2 linked regions of the Nothobranchius furzeri genome follow. The protein of the gene in region 2 interacts with the protein of the main gene of each other region in a pairwise test. Links are inferred from orthologs where the notes say so. Each region holds a gene or a part of one and is shown on either strand. Other genes may lie near its edges.

Region 1 (4,257 bases), on a different chromosome or scaffold from region 2:
AATAATCATTGTGTTTCATTTATAGAGCCCTGTAAAATAGAAACAAGTCTGTCTTAGACTTAGATGAAAATGTAGACCTTTTACATTTTCATTGTGGAATTATTAAAAATTTAAAGCACTGAGAAAAACTGAATCTGGAAGGAAAAGAACTATATGACACAAATTATAATGCATTTCTATGCAATGTATTGAATGTGTAATTTGGGATCTGAATAATCGCAAAATGATTTAGTTGACATAAACAACTAGTACAATTATTTGACACAATGTTTTGCAAGCATGCTCATGTTGAGATCCTTCATGTGAAAAATGCAGACAAAATTGTAGAAGGAATGCTGAAACTTGCATATTTTGTCAATATCTATGAAACCTATAAACAATGTTTATGAATTTAGAAAACAACTTTGAAGTAAGTTTTATTGGAACTTAATTGATTGAAAACGCAAGAAAACGTAAGCGTTGGAAAGTTGAGCCTCATCAACGCAGAAAGCACTTATGCTAGCTCACTTTCGTATGACAACTTTTCAGCAGAAGACAGCCAGGGGTTCAAAAAGACTATTTTGAACAAAAAATTTAAAAACAACATTATAAGCAAATTAACTGTGTTGCACCCTCGGGGACTTCCAACGACTAAATATGTAAACTACGAAACAGCAGATAAAACGAATTCCTGAACATCATCAATCAGCCAAACCTAGTAAATACAACTAAAGTTTACTTACGTAAAAGTTCATATGCAAAAAGTTTCTACTTAACCAAAGAAAAGACTTTCTTTACTCCCATGTGAGACACTTCAGAAAAGGGAAATAATTTATTTTTAATTATTTACAGGCAGATTTTTAAGTTCCTTAATAAATTAAACATTTTTTAAACATCGATTTTTATTAAAAATGAGTCAACATTCATGATATTTTGAGTGTTTTTCCATTAAACTGGTAGATAACTAACGTGATGGAATATTTACCTGAATAAACTTGATGCAATTATTATTATTATTTTTCCATAAACAAGCAGCCCTAGTCCCACATTTGCCATGCCTCACAGCTGAGTGTTGTATAAAACTAACAAATTATTACCGCATAGCACAACATCTATAATGAAAAGCTTACTTTGATGATGTTACTTGAGTAAAAACTAATTAAAATGATACATATTTCACATCAGAAGTAGTACATACAAAAACTTAGCAAATATTGGCTGTTGTTTCTGTAAAAGGAAGATTCCAATGAGTTTATGTACATAAAGCTAAAAGCCACAAGTCCTATCAATGGTAGTTTAATAACTGAACGCCAGCCGACTAATCAAGATTAATGATTCAGTATTTATAGTTAAACCTTTTGGTTTTGTATGAGCTGAGGCTGATGGATATATTAAATAAATTTCATCATTTTACCACAGCCAAGATCTAACGTTGCTATGCTAGCACTTTCATGATTGATATTAGCACAGGTAGCTAATAAGTCACGGTGTAAATAAAGGATAAACTCAGCGATAAAAAGGAAATAAACTGAAAACAAGTCGCATCTGGAGTCTGGTTTGAGATGAAATATTGCTGTGAAGTGAAGCTAAATAACGAATAATGTAAGGCTCTCTGAAATCTAACCGATAAACGACGTGATTTAGTCACGCACCAACTGGGCAGGCTTAAATAACGTTCCCACTATTTTGTTGTTAAACACTAATACATTTTGCAGTTTATGCAAAGAGCGAATAAAAACGAGGCCTCTTCACATCACAGCAGTTGTTGTCATGGTGGTACTTAAACGCAACGCGACAAATGAATGTATTTTCATTCAATCACGGGGCTAATTATGCATCCATGACTTAAACAAAATGTTCATTTTTAACGTTTCCTTGTAGGCATTTCTGCTACGTATCCTTACCTTTTCTCCGGTGCTTGCTTAGATTACTTTGGGTGTGCAGCCAGCCAGCTACAGTAGCTGCTAGTGAAGAACTGCAGTGTTGACGTTGACGACTCCTCCTACGCAGACGGCGTAAATTACGATGCAAAGCTCCGTTTGTTCTGTCTGATTGGCTGGTGCTGGACACGTGTTTAACGCATGATGCGTCAATTATGCATATTATTACCAACAGATGGCAAAAATAGTATACAACTCACTGCATATTAAAGTGAATGCCGTTTAACTTGGTTGAACTGGTAAACTAAGCTGAGGAAGAGACCCTCAGAGGTGAAAAATGCTTCCTGAACATTTTTTGTGAACGTGTTTATGAGGGTGGTTTGTAACTACAGGTAATGGCCACTAGATGTCAGTATATATCTACTAGATTATGTTCATTCAGTTATTCTTTGGATCATGTTTTTAAAACCTAGAAGATGTGTCTAGTTTTCATCAGAAAAAGAAAAATATTTCAAATTGCTATCAACACACCAGTTTGAAACACTTGTCGTTTTGTCTCGCATTTTTATTTGTATGAATCATTTAAACTATTCTGTCTCAAAAATAGTTACCGTAAATCCTCTAATACAGGCCCGGGCCTATATTTGACTCAAGCTCATCAAGCTCCAGGCCTTTATTGGAAGGAGGGCCAGAATTAGAGGCAGGGCTCAATTTCTATTTGAGCAAAATGAACTAATGGTTCGCTGGAGTTTTTGACAATTAAAATTGTGCCCACATTTTCAAAGTTAAACACATTTCTTTTAACAACGGTAGTTTCTGCTTCAGCCCTCTCCCCCCTCCCCCTGCGCAGCGGCCGCAAACTCACTGATGCGCCTGCAGCCTCTCGGAGTTCCTGCTGCTCTAAACATTAAAATAATTATTTCATTTTCTGTTCCTCACTTCTGATTACCTTCAATGGTGTCTGTTTGTTGCAACCACCAGGTACAAATCTAACTTGTTTTTATTTGACTATTTTTCTGTCCTGTATCTGTTTATTATCTTCCTGCATCTCCTCTCAATCCTAAAGAAAAACTGCTACCTGGGTTCATATTTATTCACCTTATGAGTTACCTTTGAACTGCAGTTCTAAAAGATCTACGGACCGCAAAAACAGCGGAGTGCGCGCTGCTCGCCAGCCACATCAGTTAGGTGCATCACCGAGGACAAAACAGGTGATGCGCCCCGATCCACAGCAGCGAAACGCATCAGGCACAAATAAAAGAATAAAAGACAGAAAACATAAAAGGAAATGAGCCGACATGAACAATCGCATGTTAAATTAGTTTTTGAGGTGGCGACACCTGATTTGATAATGTTACTGTGGCCGTGCTCAGGACACAGATGTCTGGAGCGCGTCAACAATCAGAGCTTTGCATGCGCAAGCTGGTTAAGGTTAGGATGGGGGTGAGGGGAAGATTAAATCGCAAGAGGGTAAACGTCACAATTTGGTTAAATGTCCGTTTTACGGTGGGTGTCAGTACTGACGCTCTGTCACAGCGCGTTGCCTCCCGACGCGCAGGAGCTTGTCACCTGCTGACAGCAGGCTGCTGTCTTTTCCATGGACTGCATCTTGCCGGTCATTATCACGTGACAGCGACTAGTCGATGACAGGCATAAAAAGTCACTATAGAGCGGTGAAGTCGACTAGTTCATACAACCCCTGCTACTGCTCCCCAGAGTGTTCTGCAGCATAATCAGCACGTTCTCTTTGAACTTGAAATCAAATTTTTGCCTCCTCTTTGTCTCCGCACGGTTAAAGTTACCCTCGCGGTCTATCACTGGCAAATCAAAAGTGAGACGGATGACACAACCGCCCCCTGTACTTGCTTGTTACCACATTCCACCCAGCCACAATAAAAAAACAGCCATTATTCACGTCCGCCGACTCCGACACCGGCCAAAATATGATACTGGCAGTTAATTAAATACAGGCTAATATTAGAGGATTTACGGTAAATTGGTTTAATGAATCTGATCCAGCACAATTGTTTATTATAGCAATAACATCACCACAAAGTGCTGCAGAGATCATGTGTACAGATACATCACATGACACTTCCTTATACCTACTCCACATGAACACATGAATAGGAAAATAAAAACAATATGTAAAATAATAATAATACTAATAATAATAAACATATGTTTTATATAGCGCTTAATATAACTACTTAAAAACAGTGTGTGTATATATATATATATATATATATATATATATATATATATATATATATGAGAGAAGAGAGAGAGAGAGAGAGAGAGAGAGAGAGAGAGAGAGAGAGAGAGAGAGAGAGAGAGAGAGAGAGAGAGAGATCTATGGTGCCCGTAGTCATCGGGGCAGTAACCCCCAAACTGGAGG
Region 2 (3,983 bases):
ACAAATGAATTTCTAAAATGTGCTTTTCGTGACCTTTCCCACCAGAATGTCTGAACCAGAGCTGATCAAATAAATAAAAAGAGAAGCCACATAATGTTCAAAACTAATTAAAAAACTAAATGGCACTTGACCTTCGGACATGCGTCGATACCAGCAGTTTGGATGGTGCCGTCAGAATTTACTTTGCAGGATGCCCACAGCTAGGAATTCAGCGCAGATGCTCCGCTAAAGAGCAAGAGGCTTCATGGCACAAACCAGAGGCATCGCAGGCTTAATATATGCAGATAAAGGCGAATAATGTGCTTCAAGCAATAAGAAATTCATTATTTATGCATTTGTGTAACAACAGTTATTTATCATGCAACATAAGGTGCATTCGTAATACAATGCCATAAGGTAAACATGAGGAAGAAGGATATATGTATAGATATAAAAAAATCTTCAAGGAGATTCTCAAAGGGTCAAAACGAGGACTGATCATGGAGCAGCTCTTTAGACCGGCTCCATGAGGAGCTCATCCAGGTCCGACGCCTCCAACTCTCGGAACGCAGCATGAGAGCCGATCACAAACAGAGTTGCTCCTGACAGGAAACCACACAGAACAGGAAAAATGGATGTAAAAAGAAACGATTTTAGTTCTTAATCAAGATGAAACATCAGAAAAAGATTACGAGGAAAGAACAAATCATGTTCAGCTTACCGAGAACCCAAAACACAGCGGCTCCGGCTCCTGCCAACCAGAAAACGGGCAGAGAAACGGCTCCAGCCAGACTCATCTGGTGTGGGACTGTCAGTTCTCTGCCTGATAAACAAGAAATATGAAGAAAAATATTAAAAATAGGGTTTGTGGTGCTAAATGCAGCGTGGGTTAAATCCAGAACAGGCATGGATGACATATTTAAAAGGTTTCACACAGAATAAAAAAAAATAGACCTTGAATGTTAAAAAAAAAAAAAAACTAAATCTGGTAAATTTGAAAAGATTATGGATTTGTAGGAAATGTACTCACCGAGAACAACCAGTTTGGACTCCAGAGACTTAAGGTGGATGGCGTAGAAGGCACCAGCATACACGGCTAAGGCAATCAGCAGCATGGGCGAGCTGATACTGAGGAGCAGGAAAAATGAACAGGGCTGTCAGGCTGGAGCTATTTAAAGCAGACTGTCGACATTTTTCTAGAAGCCAGAGTCTCACAGATGATCTAATTAACATTTTTTGTTTTAATGAAGCTCTCTTTGATTAGGTCTTACATGCAGTAGAGGATGAGCCCCAGAAATATGAAGGTATAGTTGCTGTTGTAAACTTCCACATTTTTAACCACCCTCTGACACAACTCTCCAAAGTTGCGAGGTTTTGAAAATTTGCGCTGGTCTACAAAGCTGGCCCACGGTCGGATGGACAACCTGCGCCTGTCGAACCACTCCTTAGCCATGCTGGCCGAGATGCCTTTAGGAAGCCAGAGCCTATAAAAATAAACAAAATAGAATATCATCAACACACCAAAGCCAGGGTAAAAATATGAAAGCATGGTGGTTCACACCTTGAGAGGACTCCGATGCCCCCTGTGCCGGTTGGATGGGCCTCATCTGGGATGAACAAATCTCCAGCTTTGCTGTCCATGTCCACCATGACGTTCTCCCCTTTAGGCACTCCAGATAACATTTAGAGACTGTTGACTGAAACAGAATCACATTGAATGTGGACTAAACTTTTACAAAAACAATTAGCCTGGATTTACTCATTTTTATTTGATGCAACGGTGTAGCATCTTATTTAGACTTTGGTTGCGTTTCCACTCATTTTCTGGTAGATGTATTATTATTATTATTTTTTGCCTATGAAGCCCCTTATTTCTAGTCTATAAATCCTTCAGGCATAAAACATTTCTGAAACTGGTGTAGTGTAGTGTAGTGGACATTTAAATCCTATTTTTTAAATTAGAATCGATGACAAAATACCAAAGATTAAACAATTTGAGAAATTAAAAAAAGGTACTTTAGCACACACACACACACACACACACACACACACACACACACACACACACACACACACACACACAAAACGGATTCCAAAAGATATATTGACTGAAAACTTGACATATGGTCGTTTCTATAACTGCACCATTTTCATTGACCTTCAGATCTACTGTAGACACATGTTTTAACCCCAACACTTCTTATTTTATCTTTCATATTCCTCGTGTTCCCAGTAAACCTCCCTGGTTCTTAAGCTGTTTTGAAAGCAATAATCGCAAATGTCAATGGAGCTAACTTTTGATTTTTCGTATTTTAAAACGCCACATTTGACACGTCATAATCTAAAACGGTCTCAAGTGTATAAACAATCACTGTCTAATGATTACATGTCTTTCTAGTTTAATGGCGATCCTTAGTTAGAGAAACAGGAAGAAGTAGAAACAGGGCCCGGCCAGTGCCACATCACTAAATAAACAGGATAACCGAGAAACTCTCGTTACCAAACAACAGTGTCTAGAAGTAGCAATTTCAAATATAAATATTATACTCACGACGAGTCTATTTAAAACCTGAATGTAAATGTAAAATGCTAGCTTATGAGCTAATGTTTACGTCTACTTCCGGATTTTATTTAACGTCAACGTAATTTTCACTTGTTTTTAAAATAAGAATTTAAATTACAACATACCTGCCAAAATGCTAAACCCTTAAATCATTCACCAAAATGTAGGCAGAAGTTTCACCAGACAGCCTGAGCTGTCTTTTGTTGCTGTTCTGGATCTCGGAAGTGATGTGGCTGCTGGAGAAGAAGAAAAAACTTCCTACTTCGCTGACTCTAGGCAGGGCCACCTACTGGCTACATAGAGTACTTCGAATTTTGTGTTACACAACACAGGTGGAACTTTTCATTTGTATTACTTTTTATTTTATTTATTTATTTTTTTGCATTATTTTTACTTCATCCAAAAAACGGAGTTTTTTCTCTTAACAGCCGAAAACACATCTGTTGAAAAAGCCGACCTGAGATCGGCTGCCTGTTTTCTGCGGTGGCTGCTCAAAACCACACAAGCACGAAAAACTGACTGCAGATCAGAAATGGTAAAAACGTGACCTTACGTCATGTAACAAACAAAGAGGCTGTGATTGGTAGATAGACGAGTGTTGTGGTGCTGCCGTCACTGGGCACGCGGCACTGTGGAAGTTGCTAGATCCGCCAGCGAAAGAAAGGAAACAAACATTAGAAGGTGAGGCGCTATTAATTATCTTATCAAATTTAGCTGTTGGAATGTTTTTACGTGTTGTTAAATGTAATCTTCAGACCTTGGGGTTTATGACAGTTCTGTTTTTGTTAGTCATTAATAAAGTAACGTTTCAATGCTAAAACAAAATGTACGCGTTTTTTTTTACAAATGCACTAAAGGGGGACACAGCGCCATAGCAGCATATTAGCCTACGCTGGCTCCGTTAGCTTTAGCTTATTCGGCTCTTTAGCTTACTCAGCTCAACAGCTGTCCTGGCTGGGTGTTTAATGACCGTTTTTTTCTCCACAGAAACCGTGACAGGATACATAAACTCGTATAAAGCGTAAAACCGTAACACAAGAGGAACGAGTCGTTTCAGGAGCCTCCAGCTGCTTTCATACACATTTTGCCTGAAGATAAAAACGACACCGCTGACTGGTTCGTGTGTGTGGAGAGCGTCAAGCTGAAACGGTAAAAGGCAGGAATGTTCAGCTCCACACACACTGAGCTCACGTACATTAACATTTTATATCCTGACTCCCGAGGAAAATACATTTCTATGTCATATTTTTTCAAAATCTCACATATATATTATAACTTAGTCGACTATAAGTATAAATAATGTCAGAAAATATGGTGTAAATAGTTGCATTTTCCCCAAAAAAGCTAATTATATTTTATATTTTTGTTTAATTTCCAATAACAATCAGTATTAATAGATTATTTAAAAAAATGCTCAACAAAATAGGGTAAATAACAGCAA

What was found.
Region 1: the proteins of rabac1 (region 2) and trim32 interact in binary tests that used the Homo sapiens proteins (3 or more experiments, as listed by UniProt). The two-hybrid records come from large-scale screens. The link is inferred for Nothobranchius furzeri from reciprocal best matches to the Homo sapiens genes RABAC1 and TRIM32.

What each region holds. Positions count from the first base shown.
Region 1 is NC_091746.1:55,652,014-55,656,270, reverse strand, and holds the start of trim32 (E3 ubiquitin-protein ligase TRIM32), read right to left. Parts: upstream 2,834-4,257; 5' UTR 1,884-2,833; intron 1-1,883. UniProt on the Homo sapiens protein: E3 ubiquitin ligase that plays a role in various biological processes including neural stem cell differentiation, innate immunity, inflammatory resonse and autophagy.
Region 2 is NC_091745.1:74,795,268-74,799,250, forward strand, and holds the start of rabac1 (prenylated Rab acceptor protein 1), read right to left. Parts: upstream 2,803-3,983; 5' UTR 2,668-2,802; intron 1,677-2,667; 5' UTR 1,663-1,676; coding exon 1,541-1,662; intron 1,464-1,540; coding exon 1,251-1,463; intron 1,108-1,250; coding exon 1,010-1,107; intron 803-1,009; coding exon 701-802; intron 582-700; coding exon 493-581; 3' UTR 1-492. UniProt on the Homo sapiens protein: General Rab protein regulator required for vesicle formation from the Golgi complex. May control vesicle docking and fusion by mediating the action of Rab GTPases to the SNARE complexes.